Linked DNA regions of Rattus norvegicus. The protein of the gene in region 1 interacts with the protein of each later gene in a biochemical or structural test. Links are inferred from orthologs where the notes say so. Each region holds a gene or a part of one and is shown on either strand. Other genes may lie near its edges.

Region 1 (7,441 bases):
CCCTCTCTCCTCCTCCTCTGAGCAGGTGGGGGGCCCTTGGTACCCCCTCTCCCAACCCTGGCACTTCAAGTCTCTGCAAGACTAGGGCACTTCTCCCACTGAGGCCAGACAAGGCAGCCCAGCTAGAAGAACATATCCCACATACAGGCAACAGCTTTTGGGGATAGCCCCAGTCCCAGTTGTTCGGGACCCACAGGAAGCCCAAGCTCCACATCTGCTGCATGTGTACAGGGAGGCCTAGGTCAAGCCTACGTATGTTCTTTGGTTGGTGGTTCAGTCTCTGAGAGACCCAAGGGTCCAGGTTAGTTGATTCTGTTGGTCTTCCCCTTAGGGGCTAGATTTTTTTTTTTAACAGAGTATTGGGAATTAATATCCCCAAGGAAGGTTTGGAGCACAGAACAAGTTAGGAAGAGAGCATGGTAAGACACTGGAGACCCACAGGGTACTGTAAACGCAGTGGGAACTTTCAGGTACATAGCTGGTCAACAACAAATGGATGTGCTAACACTACACACTGTTCCAGAAAAAAACAAAAAAACAACAACAAAAAAAACCCCAAACAAACAAAAAAACAAAAAACCATGTGAGCATGAAGGAACAGTCAGGCCTTCCCTCTGAGTGTCCGAGTTGACACGTGAAGAGAAGTAAGCTAGTTTGGAAAAACCAGAGCTGCAGAGACGGGGTGTGTGTATGATGTTCTTCATGTCTCTTAGTCTTAGGATCTCTCAGGGTCATTGTGTGAAATTAGAAATGATAACAGAAAAAAAACCCACCTGGGTACAACTATTGTTTTGGGCTCAGCTTCTGATGACCATCAAAAACACTTGAGATATTTATAAAGTGTGAAAGGTTCAAGTTGGCTAGCCTTGGAGTTTTACAGTAGAAGACTGACTAGCCTGATTGTGCTGGCCCTGTGGTGAAGCAGCTCTTCATGGAGAAGCAGCTCCTGCTGGACTCAAAGCACTCATCTTATGGCCTCAGAGAGCAAGAGCATGAGCCACAGTCCCACTGTCCCCTTCAAGAATACACTCTAAGGACTGGAAGTCTTCCAATTAGGTCCGGTCACCTAAAGACTCTGCCCTTTCCCAGTAGCACCACCATGGAGAGCAAGTCTTTCCTGCATGAACCTTAGAAGAACATTCCAGATCCAAATTTCAGCAGGCTTTGTTGATTATAAGAAACCTGACACTCATTTTTGTTTAAAATAGAAGCACTGTAGTGTGGTTAAAACCCAGTCTTAGAACCATTGGTTAATGGTGCTGTTGTGAAAATTACTTCCTTAGGGGAAACATGAACGATATCTCCCCCTTCCTCCTATGGGTCCACTCACAGACCCACATATGATTCCAGAAACATTCATGCTGGAGACCCAATGAGTTTGTTAGGCTTACTTAAAGAGCATGGGTGAAGGGTTGCTGACACAATTGTGTATGTGACCACAAAGCAGTCACACTGGCCAGTCTTCTCTCATCATGGATGACAGCTTCCCCACAGCTACATAGGTGGCACCCTCTCCCCCCTTTTCTTCTCACCTGAGTTCTGTTATGTCCAAGTTACACACAAATGAATGGCTGGGAAGAATGAGTGGCTACACAGAAGATCCAATGACACACCCTACCCTCTTCCTTCTGGGAAGAAAGGTCAACACACAAGCTGATTGTATGCTCAGCTAATCTTATGAATGCAGTGGCAGTGTGCCTCAGAGGTTAGTGCCTTCAAACAGTTGGCCTTACCATTACACTTTGGTATGTACTCGCTCCTGAATGCCCTCAGTGCGTCTCAGGCTTAGGACGAACAGGTGACAAATTTACATTTTAATTTGAATGTACTGCTAGGCGTTATCTCTGCCTATGGGTATTTGGAGACACTATCAATTAAATCCCAGGAAAGTTTGCCTCTAATCATAGGCTTAGTGTAGACTTTATCTCTTCTATTTCAAAGTATACACAGACTAGAAAGCATAGATTTGGTTGCTCGGTGACCACACCTTTGGTAGTATTTTGGATGAAACAAGCATTCCCAATCCCAAGATGTGACTAAGAACACCAGAGTGTTTTATTGTCCTTTCCCGGACCCCATGTGTGTCTTCTTACCTTCTCACTATGCGCAAGAACCACAGGGTCCCACATGGGTAGATATTTACAAGCGCTGTCCCAAAACGTTTTGTGATGTGGATTTGGCTTGGGAATTAAAGTGCTTGATCTTCAGCACTTCGAGCCCAGCTCAAAAAATGATCAGAAAGGGAACAAGAAGTCCCCGCCACATGAGAGATAACATAACTCATTCTCAACTCTAAGATGAAATGAATGCTGGACCTCTCGGTCCAGAAGCAACTCTTCTGGATGCTTCTGTAGAAACAGGATCCCTGGTAAGAGGCCAGAAAGAATTCATTCTGTTTGGACACTTAGAGTGGGGCATCATTTGGCATAGGGAATTTCAGCATGGCATGGGCAGTTTACATTAATAGTGGGCATTTCCTCTACCCCAGCTGAGTTGCCTCTGTGAGCTCCGAGTCTCGGGCAGTGAATCTTTCCATCTTGGAGAGGAAAGGCATGTGTCTGAAATCTCACCTTCTCCTCAGTAGCTGCTTCTCTCCCCCCCCCTTTCCCTTTTATTTAAAAAGAAGCATCGGTATATTTGAACAGAAAGGATAATAGGTAAGCATTTATTCAGTTACTTGAAATTTCACGAGTAGAGCTGACTCATTAAATGATCGAGCATCCAGTGTTTAAATATTTCCCCATAAACAGTGGAATCAGGCTTCTGCTGTGCTGTGGGGGTGATGCAATGGAAACAGCTTTTCAGAAGGCTCTGATTTCTGCTACCACAGAAAGAACAAGGGTTGACTCTTGATAAATAACATGGAAAGAAACACTGTCAAAGTTTTAATAAGGGTGTCTTTTTCTTTTATGGAACTCCATAGCGCCCACGCTGTAGAACATAAATAAGCAGTTTACACACAAAAAAAGTAAGGTCAATAAACATAACACGTTGAGACTTTTTCCCCACGTCAAAAGTCATAAACTTACATTTTATACAGTAGATATTTTCCAACCAAAGCACTATACAGTAGAGGCAGCTGTTGGGAAGTACACTGCTCAGGTTGTGCCTGAGTGACAAATTCTGCAGGTCTCTACCTAGTATGCACTCTGTCCCCACTTAATACCTGCCAGGTAACTCACAGATGCCTCCCAGGGGGTAGAAACAGATGATCTCTTTGAAGGTTTTCCTCAGTTCTTGACTCCGCAGGGCATAAATGAGAGGGTCGATGACAGCGTTACACATGATCAGTATGAGATACAAGTTAAAATGAGACATGAAGCACACGCAGTATGGATTCTGAGGACAAGAGATGTAGAACAGTAAATGGAGGAAAAACGGGGCCCAGCAGACAACAAACACTCCAATCAGAATGGTCAAGGTAATTGCGCCCTTCATGTTGGCACCCTGACGGATGGTACCCGTGCCCGGGAGGACAGCGATCCTCTTAATGTGAAGCCTCGCCATCAGGAACATGTGGACATAGAGAGAGGCCATGAGAACCAGCATGGTGAAGAACATGGTAATGAGGCAGATGATGACAGCGCTGCTGTCCGAGTAAATGATAAAAAGAACGCCCGATACTGTGCAAGCTGCCCAGATACAACTGATGATGATCCCGACCCGCCTAACCGTCATAATGTTATGGTACTGGAGCGCGTAAAAGATAGTGAAATACCTGTCCACTGCAATGGAAAGCAGGCTGCAAATGGATGCGAGCAAGGAGCTACAGATCACAGAGTCAATGACATTATCAATATTCACGGTGAAGCTCTGGGCGTCCGTGTCCGTACTGTTTAGCAGGGTGATGACGATGGTTTCTGACCCGTTCGAAACGCTCACCAGCATGTCCGCCACAGCCAGACTACAGATGAAAAAGTACATGGGTGAGTGCAGGTTCTTGTTCTTGGCTATCGCCACGATCACTAGAATGTTCTCCAACAGGCTTATGACACCCAGAGTCACAAACACCTCGGGGGAGACAAAAAGTTGCTCATAGCATCCTCCGTCTGAGTGCCCCTTCCCCAGAGACTCGCTGGCATTGCCGTGCAGCCCGTGGCTGCTGCGGTTCCAGAGGTGGAGGGAAGTATACATGCCATGGTGGTGGGTGGAGTTCATCTTCCTGCAGCAGCTGGATTCGAATCCTCCTTGAAGTGGTCCAACCTCCTAGGTCAGGGAAGCCCCGAGTGGTTTTTCTCCCAGCCTGTCTGCCTGTAGAAGTTGGGAGGCTGCAGTTGGCGCCTGCGGTGAACAGGGTCAGAAGCAGCGGAGCTTGCAAAGGAGTTGTTGGTCTCTTCTGGGTTCAGCTTTGCTCATCATTTCTTTAGAAGCTGGCGCTACTGAAAGCTCACTCTCGGCTGACCAGTCTGCAGTTCGTTTTTTGTGGCTTTCCCTTTAGCCGTAGTATTCACTCGGGGTCTTTTCAGAGTCCTTTTCCTGAGAGTCGCTGGAGAGCTGGGAGCCGCGTCTGCATCTGCGCGCCCACACTCACAGCGCAGCCTCTCAGAAGTTGAGCTTCCCGAGCATCCCCGTGAGCCAGCGCAGCCTGGTGCGGGCTGCTGATTTCTTAGGTTCTACGGAGGTGGGGGAACTGTTCTGAATGGCTCCTCCTCTGCTTCCTTCTGACCAATCCAGGCTCAGTGGTTCTGAGACATCGATCTTGCCCAGATTGATTACAGGGCAGCACCCAGCTCAATGGCCAGGGCTGCTGGGGTGGGAAGGAAGCAGCCTGTAAGACACTGGATTTTCCTTTCCAAGTTTTAAGAGAAATGACTTGATTGTTCGAGCACATCCTGTGATACTCCTTAAATCCTCGAGGATCAGCCAGGCTCACTCCTTGAGACGGGGCTGCAAGTATGCGCGCGCGGATAAAAAAATGAAAAGCACTCTGTCCTGGCTCCTGACGCAGACGCTGCCCCTCTGCCCAGGATCCCCACTGAATGAGCGAAGGTTCAGTTTGAAAGACTAGAAATGCAGGCAGGGTTTAATTAGACAGATGGGTATGCTGTGGGGAACTACGGCACAGCCAGAGATGAAGACTGGGTTCACTTCTGGCGTGCTGGTAGCTGTTTGTCCATTTGCAGTTTCTGCTATAACAGCTGGAAAAGTTTGTATTCACAGTATTTAAAAAGTTCCAGTGGCATTAATAAAAGCCTATTGACTGTGAACTTAGACAAATCAACAACGTGACAATATTCTGAAAAAAAATTTTTTTTTTGGTTGTTGTTGCTATTGTTTGGTTGATAGGATTTTGTGGTGGTTTTGTCGTTGGTTGGTTGTTTTTGAAAGATAGAGTTCTGTTGGTTTTTTTTAATTTTGTTTAATTTCTTTTCTTCCACAGTTTCACACATTGAAACTATGAATACATAGTTCGGCTGTGTGTTTGCTCAGGCCAGGGCCAGTGGGTGCACATTCATGCCTGCTGCTGTGAAGAGATTGGCGCTTAGCTCTGAACGCCCAACCCTACCCCCTCCCCGTTCCGTGCATGCGTGCATTCGTGTGCGTTCGTGCGTGTGTGTGTGTGTGTGTGTGTGTGTGTGTGTGTGTGTGTGTGTCTGTGTGTGTGTGTGTGTTAGAGACCATGCTAACCACTGCTTCAGAACACTGTGCTAAATTAGGGTTGCCATGCAACTCTGGAACTGAGTAGAGCCTACTACTGAATTCTGGCTAATAGACAGTACAGAAGTTGGTACACATTGGGCCACCTTCCTCTTGATTCTGCTCTTTCTCCTGTCTGGCAAATGACTACAGAGTTTCTAGAAGCTTTATGGCATAGAAGCCCCTACTAAGTGACTGTACAGAAAAGAGCCCCCCTCTGCATACCTTCCGTCTTGAGCTGACCAACTACCCTCAATGTCCTAGAAACAAGGGACAGCTTTGACTATTGTAAACCCCCAAGTGGTTCAGCTGTTACAGCATCTGACAGCAATCACCTCCAGACACTTTCCTAGAGCCCTTAAGAAGGATGATTTACGTATTTGTTTTCCCTTTCACACTTTCTCCCATGGGGAGTTATCTAACCCGTGAATGAGTGATAGAGAAGAAATCCACAGAAGCATCACGTGGTTACCTGAATAATCTTTCTAAGTAGCTCTTGCCCTTGTGCCCTTCCTCTCGGGGCACAGAAGGTCTGGGTTTTTCACAGCGAAGAAAGCATTTGCTACCCCAGCATCATGAAGGTTTATATTGCTTTACTGAAGTCGCCTGTGATGAAATGTTACTCCTATAGGTGTGATAGGAGGTGTTCGTCATAACTGGCTTAAAGACTCTCGCACACAGAGGCTTTCCCAAGAATAACTTTTAATGGCCACTTTCCCCTCTATGTCCAGTCATACCTTCTTATTTCCTTTCCTACTTCTTTTCATTTTTGTTCAGAACTGGACATATGGGTATGTCGCAGCTATTCTGAAAACCATATTTACCTCTTACGGAAAGCTTTTCGTTACGGTGGTTGGTTGCCGCTGTTGCTTCACCGGTGACTTAGAGGGAGGTCTACACTGGTCTGTCTCGTGTGCCCAATAAATCATCTGATTTGTGACCTTACTGGTCAGTGAGTGAAGGACTAAGGCAGCTACAAACAGGAAGTCTCCCAGTCTTGTGTGTTGAAGCAAACCGGCACTGTGCTACAACCCCTCCCTTGGCAGCCTTCCCTCCCCTTACTTCTGTTTGCACAGAGGAGAAATCAACCAGAGGTGAGGACTTAGGGCATTCTCAGCTCTTTCGAGACCTTATGCAGAGCTCTACAAGCAGCACAACTTTTTATATTCTCAGAGCTCATTTGATCTGTCTCTATGGAGACCCTCTTCCCTCACTTGCCTTTAAAATTTTAAGCTCTTTTCTCTAAGTTGTACCCAACATGTCAGGCAACCATAAGATTAACAGTTGCTTGGAATGCCACTGGGGGCAAAGTCTATTCTTAGAGGGCACATTCTGGGTCAGGAAAAAGCCCTGGAAGTCTGGCTTTGGGGGTTCAACTCAGGTAAGCTGAGTTGCTTCTCCGTAAAGAGTCTAAGAGGTTTCTAAGGACTTACAAGTCAGGTTGCCTCTAAACTTCCTGGTAAGAGATGCTTTTTGGTATCTTTCTGGCAATTGATTTTCAAGGACACAGACCAAGCTGGTTAAAAAGCCACAAAGTTCACTTTTTAAACTTTTGTAATTTAGTGGTTTCCTGGCTTCTTCCGAAATTGCTTGGCACATTAGTTAATTTGTCTCATGTTGTATATATTATAATGTTAACACATGTTGCTAGTGGTATGGATTTACTTGGTGAGGGATTTTTTTCACTAGTCCTTACTTTAGTATTTTTTACTAAGATTATTTCTCATCCTTACCTTTTATGTTAAAATAATTAAATTAGATTAGTCTCTATCAACCATCCCCTGTAACAGACTTCTAGATGAAT
Region 2 (8,040 bases), on another chromosome or scaffold:
ACACCAGTAATGTACAAAGTTATGTGCCTACTCCAGCCCTCTACCCCTAGGTCTCTTGCCTCAAAACTTCCCAGCACCCACTAGGTCTTTTACTGTGTATCTTCTTGTATCATCTCAAGCAGAATTTTGAGACAAACTAGTTCATTTCCCTGCCACCTCATTCTAACTGGGAGAAAGGGTGAAAGGCAAGGGATAAATCCATCGTGAGTGGTCTGCTGGTGCGTCTACACCTTGAAGACTCACAACTGCGGTTGTGGTTATTTTTACATAAGCTGCAACCTTAAGGTTTTTTTTTTTTTGTTTTGTTTTGTTTTTTTTTTTTTTTTAGAACCTTGGAAATTGAGGAGGAGAAAATAGAAGGACCCCACCCACTCATCCGTTGAAGGTTTTTCTACAATTATAATGCTACCGAATGTTAACAGTGGGTGATAAAAGCAAAGTTATTTAAACGTAATGTAAATGAAATAGGGGACTCAGTGGTGTCAGAAGTGTGAGGTGTCACCCGAGGACTCTGACCTTGTTTATCTCCTACACCAACCCCTTTCCTGGTGAGATCTCAGGAGAGGCTATGCAAATCAACAGCCTTGGCAGTTTCTGAACTGGATCACCCAGGGTTCCTTGGGCCTTCTGAGTCTAAAGTACATGAACCTTGTTCTTATGTCTTGAGAAGGTCTCTTCCATCACCTAGCCTCAGCTGTCCGTTGATACATCGAACAGGATGTAGTAGCAGGCACCCGACACTTGTGTGCATGCATGTGCATGCACATGGTGATGTGTAAGGGGCCCTAGCCTGCCCCTGACAGCTTTACACGCTTCTGCAGGAAAGACTGGAAAAGAACTTGGCTGGAATCCTGCCTTCTAGAAGCAGTGTGAGATATTTGGCATCAGTTTTTTGGGTTTTTTTTCTTTGGGGGGGGGGACTTTGGTCTTTCCTTCTCCCTCTGGAGGTGTTATATGGAAATACCCGACTAGTAACTGGCTTTGTAACTGAGAGAAAATAAAGAGGGAAGAAATATGAAGTGCACTTGCAGGTTTCCACTATTTAAAGGGAGGTTGATTTGGGAGCCAAAGGGTTGAAATACGGGACCAACTAAAGGAGCACTCCTGGCTAATATGGCATTGTGTATACTCAGTTTCTGTGAGGATTCCTCACCAGAAACAGAATGAGTGGGTGAGAATAATGGAGCAGAAATTATGAACCAGACCCCTTTCTCTGAAGCCACCTCCTTCTCACCTTTGCCTAATTCCAACCTTACAGAAAGAGTTCTGTTGCTGCTCCGAGTCACTCCAATTAACGGAGATGAATTTCCCTGTCACCCCTTCCCACAGCCCTCTTCCTTTCCATCTGTTCTAATCCCGGTGCCATCTTCCACCCAAGCCACAGTGGTGTCCGTGGCCCACATACCAGCAGGTTGCTTTCCGTGGTGAGGTCCTGGCACTGGCTGCTCTCCAGGCACCAGCTCCACACGTCTATGGAGGTCTGAAGCAGGAGGGCCAGCAGCAGGGCCCCTGAGCGACTGTAGCAGAATCTCGGCATCTTCCAGGTGGCTGAGGCTCTGCAGAGGCAAACAAGATTGGAGGGACCCCTGCAAGGAGCAGAACAATGCTGGCCAGTGACCAGGAAAGGACTCTGAGCCAACACTAACAGCTCTCACCTTTACAGTCCAAGGCTTTCTGAGGACAGGAGCAGGGCTCAGAAGATGGGAGATGCGTGTGGCTGTCATAGGAGGGGTAGGAAAAGAGGGCTCAACACAAACTACAGGCAGTTTCCCTCTCTGTTTCCTGTTAAAATCAGACTTTTAAAAAAAATCAGAGGTGAGGCTATCTAGGATATCACTTGGTCCGGCCCCTCATTTGGGAGGTGGGAAAGCTGATGACCCCAAAAGATCATTTCTTTTGTGCTCATGATGCAGTAAAAGTAAGCTTCCCTGTATTCCCAGATGGCTTCTAAATTCACTGCCTGGAAAAAGCTGCAGTTAACACTCCATATCCAAAGGGTGGGAATAACTAAAGACAAAGGATTGAGAAAGTCCTGCCTTGGTTCCTCTCACCTAAAATTTGATCACTTCCGATGAAAGGTAGGTTTCAATACAGGCAAATAAAACCCTTCCACTTAATCAATATTTGATATTGTATACACAAATCTCCTGGTGATTGTTATTTCCCAGATCCTAGTAACTTTGGGAAGATTTCTTTCTAAGGCAGATTCCACTTCCTTTAAAACTTCCCTGTTTTCTAAACATACAGACCACACATGTAAGTCTTGTCTGAAATACATGACCTTGAAGAGGATGTCAATACTGAGGGCAGAGAGACGGGCAGAAGACCAGAAAGGAAGCTGCCTCCACAGTGAAGAAGCTGCCCCTGAAGTGAAGAGCCACTAAGATACTGTCAAGAAATGCAAAGCATCTCTGGGCAGATGTGGCACCAACAGGCAGAAGAGAGCAACCACGGTGCCTTGGCTCCCTGGCGTCCAGCATTTCCCTAGCACTGCTAGCTTCTTAGCTTGTTACACCTGTTCCCCATCACCCAAGGATCCCTAAAGTCACCATAGTCTGTAATCAGCTCCCCACCAACTCTACACTCATTCTGGGTTTCAGATTACCAGCCATTAGGAAGACCTTTAATTAGAAAAGTTAGTCAGAGTGAAATGTAAATACCCAGGCAGTGGTGGCTCATACCTTTAATCCCAGCACCCAGGAGGCAGAAGCGGGAGGATCTCTGAGTTCAAAGCCAGCCTGGCCTACAGAGAAAATTCCAGAACAGCTAAGTTTACACAGAAATACCCTGTCTTGAAAAAAAACAAAAAAACAAAAAAAATTTAAGAATTAAAAATATGTAAATGGCTTAATTGTCTGGTGAACATTTGCATTTTAAGAAGAATATGGCAGAAAATAAATCTCATTTAGAGAGACAGGAGAAAAGCCTTTATTTTTGAAAGGGAGGATTTGGAAATGAAAGCTTTCAAGAATCTCCCCTCTCTGCTCCACCCTGTGCCAGTCTTCAAGAGCTGGTTTTTCCTGCAAGCTTTGAGTGGTTTTTGTTTTTTGGTTTTTTTGTTTTGTTTTGTTTTGATTTGATTTGTTTTGTTTTGTTTTTCAGAACTACCATTAGTAGACGCTAGCAGTCATTTGAGCTGTGTGGGCCACACCTCAGACCAGAAGCAAACTTGTTGCCCTTGCTGGGGCTCAGGTTCAGACAAGCAGCCAATTAGCTCAAAATGCTGAGATCACAAAGTCCCCCCAGATAGGAAGGTGGGAAAAAATGGTAAATAGCATGAAAAACGTATTAGTAAAGAAAAATAAGATCATGCAAGTCTGATAGACTTCTCAACTAAGTTTCCATTGTCTTGAAAGCTGGGTACCATGGAATGAGGTCTATCTTTGAAGAAGAGACAGTCACGATTTCAGGCCCTCAAAATCGTGCCCTCTCTTCCTAGTCCACCTATTGTGTGCTGAAATTCTCATCCCCACTCCCAGAGCTCCCCAGCTTTTTATTTGTATGTCCCCCTTTTTTCCACAATGAAACAAACGCCTTATTTGTGTCAATTTTTTTTTTGAAAAATCAAAAGTATTGGGGGAAATGTCAAATGCTGTGCTTTTTATAGGTTAGAGAGTGCCGGGTTCCAGTCATTAACAGCTCTGGAAGACAGAAGATTACGATTTATTCATTTCGATAGAACTACACTTATTAGGGCCCCAGAAAATTCTCTGAACTCAGAAGAGCCTTATATTTTCTGCTCTCAAAGTGACTCCGATAACCTGTCTATAAAGCTCAGAGGCACAAAGATGCGATTTCATCCATACACGGTGCGTATGCTTCAATTTCCACAATACCACAGGAAACAAGGCGTTAGTCTGTGCATATTTCATAAACTGACAAACTTTTCTTCGTTTCACTCGACTCCTTCCAGCCATCCTGTGAGAGCTTCCCCTGGTTTACGCACGGAGAACTTGGGGGATCTTTCTCTCCATTTGAAATGTCCTCTGCCTGAGTCTGGGTCCTTACAACTTGCTGCACCGCCCCCACGGTTTTTTAAAGGTTTTCGAAACTAGATGGAGTGGTTCAGGACCTTGGACAGTTCCCGCCCCACACCCTGTTTTTAATCTGAGCTGGATTTTGGAAAGAAGAGCCCACTTACTTACCGTCCTTTCCTATAACCCACACAATTATCGCAACGCAACCACATCAGGTCTGCTAAGGTGCGCAGGGAGGCGAGGGTTTTGATCTCTACAGCAATAACAAGTGAACTCCACTATTAGGAGTTTATTGTGGCTCGCCCTTCTTTCCCGCTATCTTTCCAACGTGTGCTCAGTATATATGGTCTCTTGCCTTAAAGAAGATATATAAAAGTCCAAACAATAGGGAGGAGAAACCTAAGGGGGAACTCTCCCAAGATCTCCCCAGGGGCCAGTCGGAGTCTAAGACAATCCTAAGCCTCCCAGTGCTTCATTCCTCCATGCGGACCCTGGGACCCCGACGCTGGCGGTCTTTGGAATTGCCACAGACCTGCTCTCTGGAGCAATGCAGTCTGCCAACCCATCGTCCGGGCTCAGCTCTCTCACGTCTCAGAAAGTTTGCGAAGAGGTCAGGTCCGCTACAAGCCAGAACGCCAGTCTGCATTACCGCCTGCTGGGGATCCCAGGGTCCGGGGACAGAGCTCAGCGTAGGAGAGCCGTCAGGAGCCGAGACACCCTTACCTGTCGCGGAAAGGCAGCTCTCTGAGGACGAAGATGTTCAGTGGCCTCTCTTAGTCACTGCTCCTTAACCTCTTTTCTCCTCCGTCGCCTCCCGTTTGGTCCCTGTCACTCTTCTCTCTTCTTTTATACCTGCAGGGTTGGGTGGGTGAGCCTTGGACGTGACCTTCCTGGCAGCGCTTCTGCAACGCAACAAGCGAATCCCCGGCCACGCGAAGGGGGGCGGCGGGCCGCGGGAGGGGGGGCTTCCCGGTCGGGGCTGCGCGCACAGCAGATGTGCCTGGAAAGTGCGGAGGCTGGCGTTAGCACAGACCCGCTGAAGCGCACACCTGGCCCCGGTGGTCAGGAGGAACTTAATTAAGGATGCTGTTGGATCTCCACTCAGGACTGGACAGAGGCTTAGCATCCTGGTGTGAGGCAGGCCTAGTTCTGAGGTCTTACAGAATGGAGTGGAATTACCTGTGTGCGTCCATCTGCCTTCCTGGCATTTGGAGGTAAATATCACTAATGAGGAGGGGGTCTGTTACGCATCAGATTTCCCCAGTGTTGGGAAAGTATGGAGTCTTGTGAAATCAAGATCTCTGTTTCGTTTCGAGAAGGGAGACAACAGAGGCTGTCAAGAATCATGGCAGCCCAAGGCAGGCTACCTTTGGGAGTGTGTGCAAGTGAGTTTGTACAGTCTGTCTCCATCCCCAATACTTATTCCAAGACAGGTGCCCTTTGATGCCCAAACTCCAAGGGAAAGGTCCTGCCAGCCTCAGACTATTAACCAGGAGGTGCAGCACTCTGTGGAGGGAAGTGGAAGCCATTCTGGGGCTGAGTTGGCAGAATGGCCTGGGGATTGTCTGACAGCCTTCACCGTGTGGCCAGGCCCAGGCGTTCTGGCTTGGCTGGGAACTCACAGGGCAAAACAGAAGAAAGAACAGGCCTGTGTGCCAAAGAGCAAAGCCTGTGAAGAGAGCTGTGACTGGCAGGGGGACTAGGATTGGATCAGACCAGTCCCGGTGCCTGTTTAATCTACCAGTTGAAGGAACTTCACTCCCCAGTTAGACACTGTCTGTTTGTCTATTTGCTTTGTTTTGTTTGGGGGACTCCAGGGGGTCCCTTGAGAGTTCAGCTTTTCTGATTGGCAGTATCGACTTTGCTTCCAAAAATCTTTTCCTTTTGTGGCACCAGAGAATGCACCAAGCTCCCTAATGGTGAATAAGGATTGTGTCACATGGCTCTGACCTCTTTCTGGGATGATTACCTGCTGTCCAACTCATATCCTGGACGTCAGCTAACCCCAATGCTCATATTCCGTGAGTGCTTCTTTCTGCCTCTACCTCCCTGAGTGTTCCCTGGAAGCTGAGCACCCTGTGTCCCTCCGATGAGGTAACTCAGATCCCTATGACGGTCTAGCTCTCCAGTATCACCTGGCTCTTACTAAGCCACTTTGGGTTATTTCTACCAGGAGCCTTAGAAACGATCTCCTTTCTTCAGAGAACCCCTTTCCTGTCTCATCTGTACAGTAGCTTATTATACGTGAACTGATTCACTTCTGTCTCTGACCTCCCATCCACCTCTGCCCTAACCAGCACCAGGCTTGGCAGTGCTCTTTGTCTTGTCCATTGCTTTATGGATGTGACTTTAGGAGGCTGCTTGCATTGGAGTCAAACCAAGGTAGGTTTGGGTTGGCCTAACTATCATCTGGACTCCTAATTATACATAGGAGAACTTGCTTTGCCCAATATGAACTGAAAAGTTTGAAAAGCTGTTAAACCACATTAGGAAACACTGGTTGGGCTATAGGACATAAAGGTGGGGGAGGGCAGGAGACAAGGGTGGCTGGACCCATGGCCAAACTCAGTAAAGGAGAAAAGAAAACCAAGGCTTAGAGAGAGAGGGTTCAGTGGTTAAGAGCACTGGCTGTTCTTCCAAAGGTCCTGGGTTCAATTCTCAACACCTACATGGCAACTCATACCTGTCTAAACTCCAGATCCAAGGATTCGACATTCCCATACATTCACACATGTAGGCAAAACACCAATGGGCATAAAATAAAAATAAATATTTTTTAAAAAAATAAATAAAAGATTTTAAAAAGAAAAGAAAACCAGAGCAGAACCAGGGTCAAAAAGACACAGGAGATACTGTCACCACACAGGCATTGAACATGGGTGTCACCAGGAAAAGGTCTCCATTGCCTTTGTATCAACATCTTTGATAACCTGGAGTAGGTGCCTCTGAAAGCCTCAAACAATACAGTTTTCCTCATTTAGTGTAATACTGTAGCGAGTTCTTAGGACACTGCTGATTGCTTTCCCAACGTTTAACATACTGTGCTTTCAAAGAAGCACAATTTAACGATGATGAGTGTCTCTTATATAACTAGCATTTTAATTAAGACTTTTGCCTCTACTTTCATGAGTGTGGCCTCTAATTTTCCTTTTTATTTTTAAGCTCTTGTCAAATCTGGTATCAAATTTGCACTGTTCTCACAAGACAAACTGAAATCTCTCTCCTTGTTTTAACTCAGCCAAGGACAGTGCTATAATGTCTTCCTTGAATGTTAAAAGTGCTTCGCACATGAAGGCTTCCAGGCTTCTAAGATGTCTGCTTTGTTTATTGGAAAGATGTTTTTGGGAGGAAGGGGTGTTCTGAGACAGGGTTTCTCTGTGTAGCCCTGGTTGTTCTGAAACTCATTCTGTTGAGTAGGCTGTCCTTGAACTCACAGAGATCCACCTGCCTCTGACTCCAAAGTACTGAGATTAAAGGTATTTGCCTCCACCACCTGGCTTGCTGAACAGTTTTTATTTAGCAATTGAAGATTCAATTGCTTCCTTAATATTATTCCCGTTGTCTATTTCTTCTTGTTCCAATTTGAATAAGGTGTTTTTTTTTTCCAGGAATTTATTCACTTCACAAAAATTCTTTAAGTTTTTGGCTTAAAAAATGGCATGTTTCGGTCCCCAGCTCCGGAAAAAAAAAAATTGGCATGTTATAGCTTCCATTTCTGTTGTGTTTGTTTGGGGGAGTCTTTTGTTTTTTGTGGAACTAGGGGTTGAACCCAGGGCTTCACACATTTGAGATATATCCCTAGTCTAATTATAGCTTCTTATCAGGTCCTTAGCATCTGAAGACTCTGGTTGTGCGCCTCTTTCTTGTCTGGTATTAGTAATTTATATTCTCCTTTTCTTGGATGTTGTGATGGTTTGCATATGCTTGGCCCAGGGAGTGGCGCTATTAGAAGGTGTGGCCTTGTTGGAGGAAGTGTGTCACTGTGGGGGTGGGCTTGGAGACTCTCCTCCTAGCTGCCTGAGGATGCTCAGTCTGTTCCTGGCTTCCTTTGGGAGAAGATGTA

Evidence for each region.
Region 2: the proteins of Mc4r (region 1) and Pomc form a complex in vitro, tested with the Homo sapiens proteins (2 studies listed by BioGRID). The link is inferred for Rattus norvegicus from reciprocal best matches to the Homo sapiens genes MC4R and POMC.

What each region holds. Positions count from the first base shown.
Region 1 is NC_086036.1:62,687,120-62,694,560, forward strand, and holds Mc4r (melanocortin receptor 4), read right to left. Parts: upstream 4,567-7,441; 5' UTR 4,159-4,566; coding exon 3,160-4,158; 3' UTR 2,679-3,159; downstream 1-2,678.
Region 2 is NC_086024.1:32,656,109-32,664,148, reverse strand, and holds the start of Pomc (pro-opiomelanocortin precursor), read right to left. Parts: upstream 4,797-8,040; 5' UTR 4,701-4,796; intron 1,718-4,700; exon of another isoform or gene 1,557-1,717; 5' UTR 1,538-1,556; coding exon 1,406-1,537; intron 1-1,405.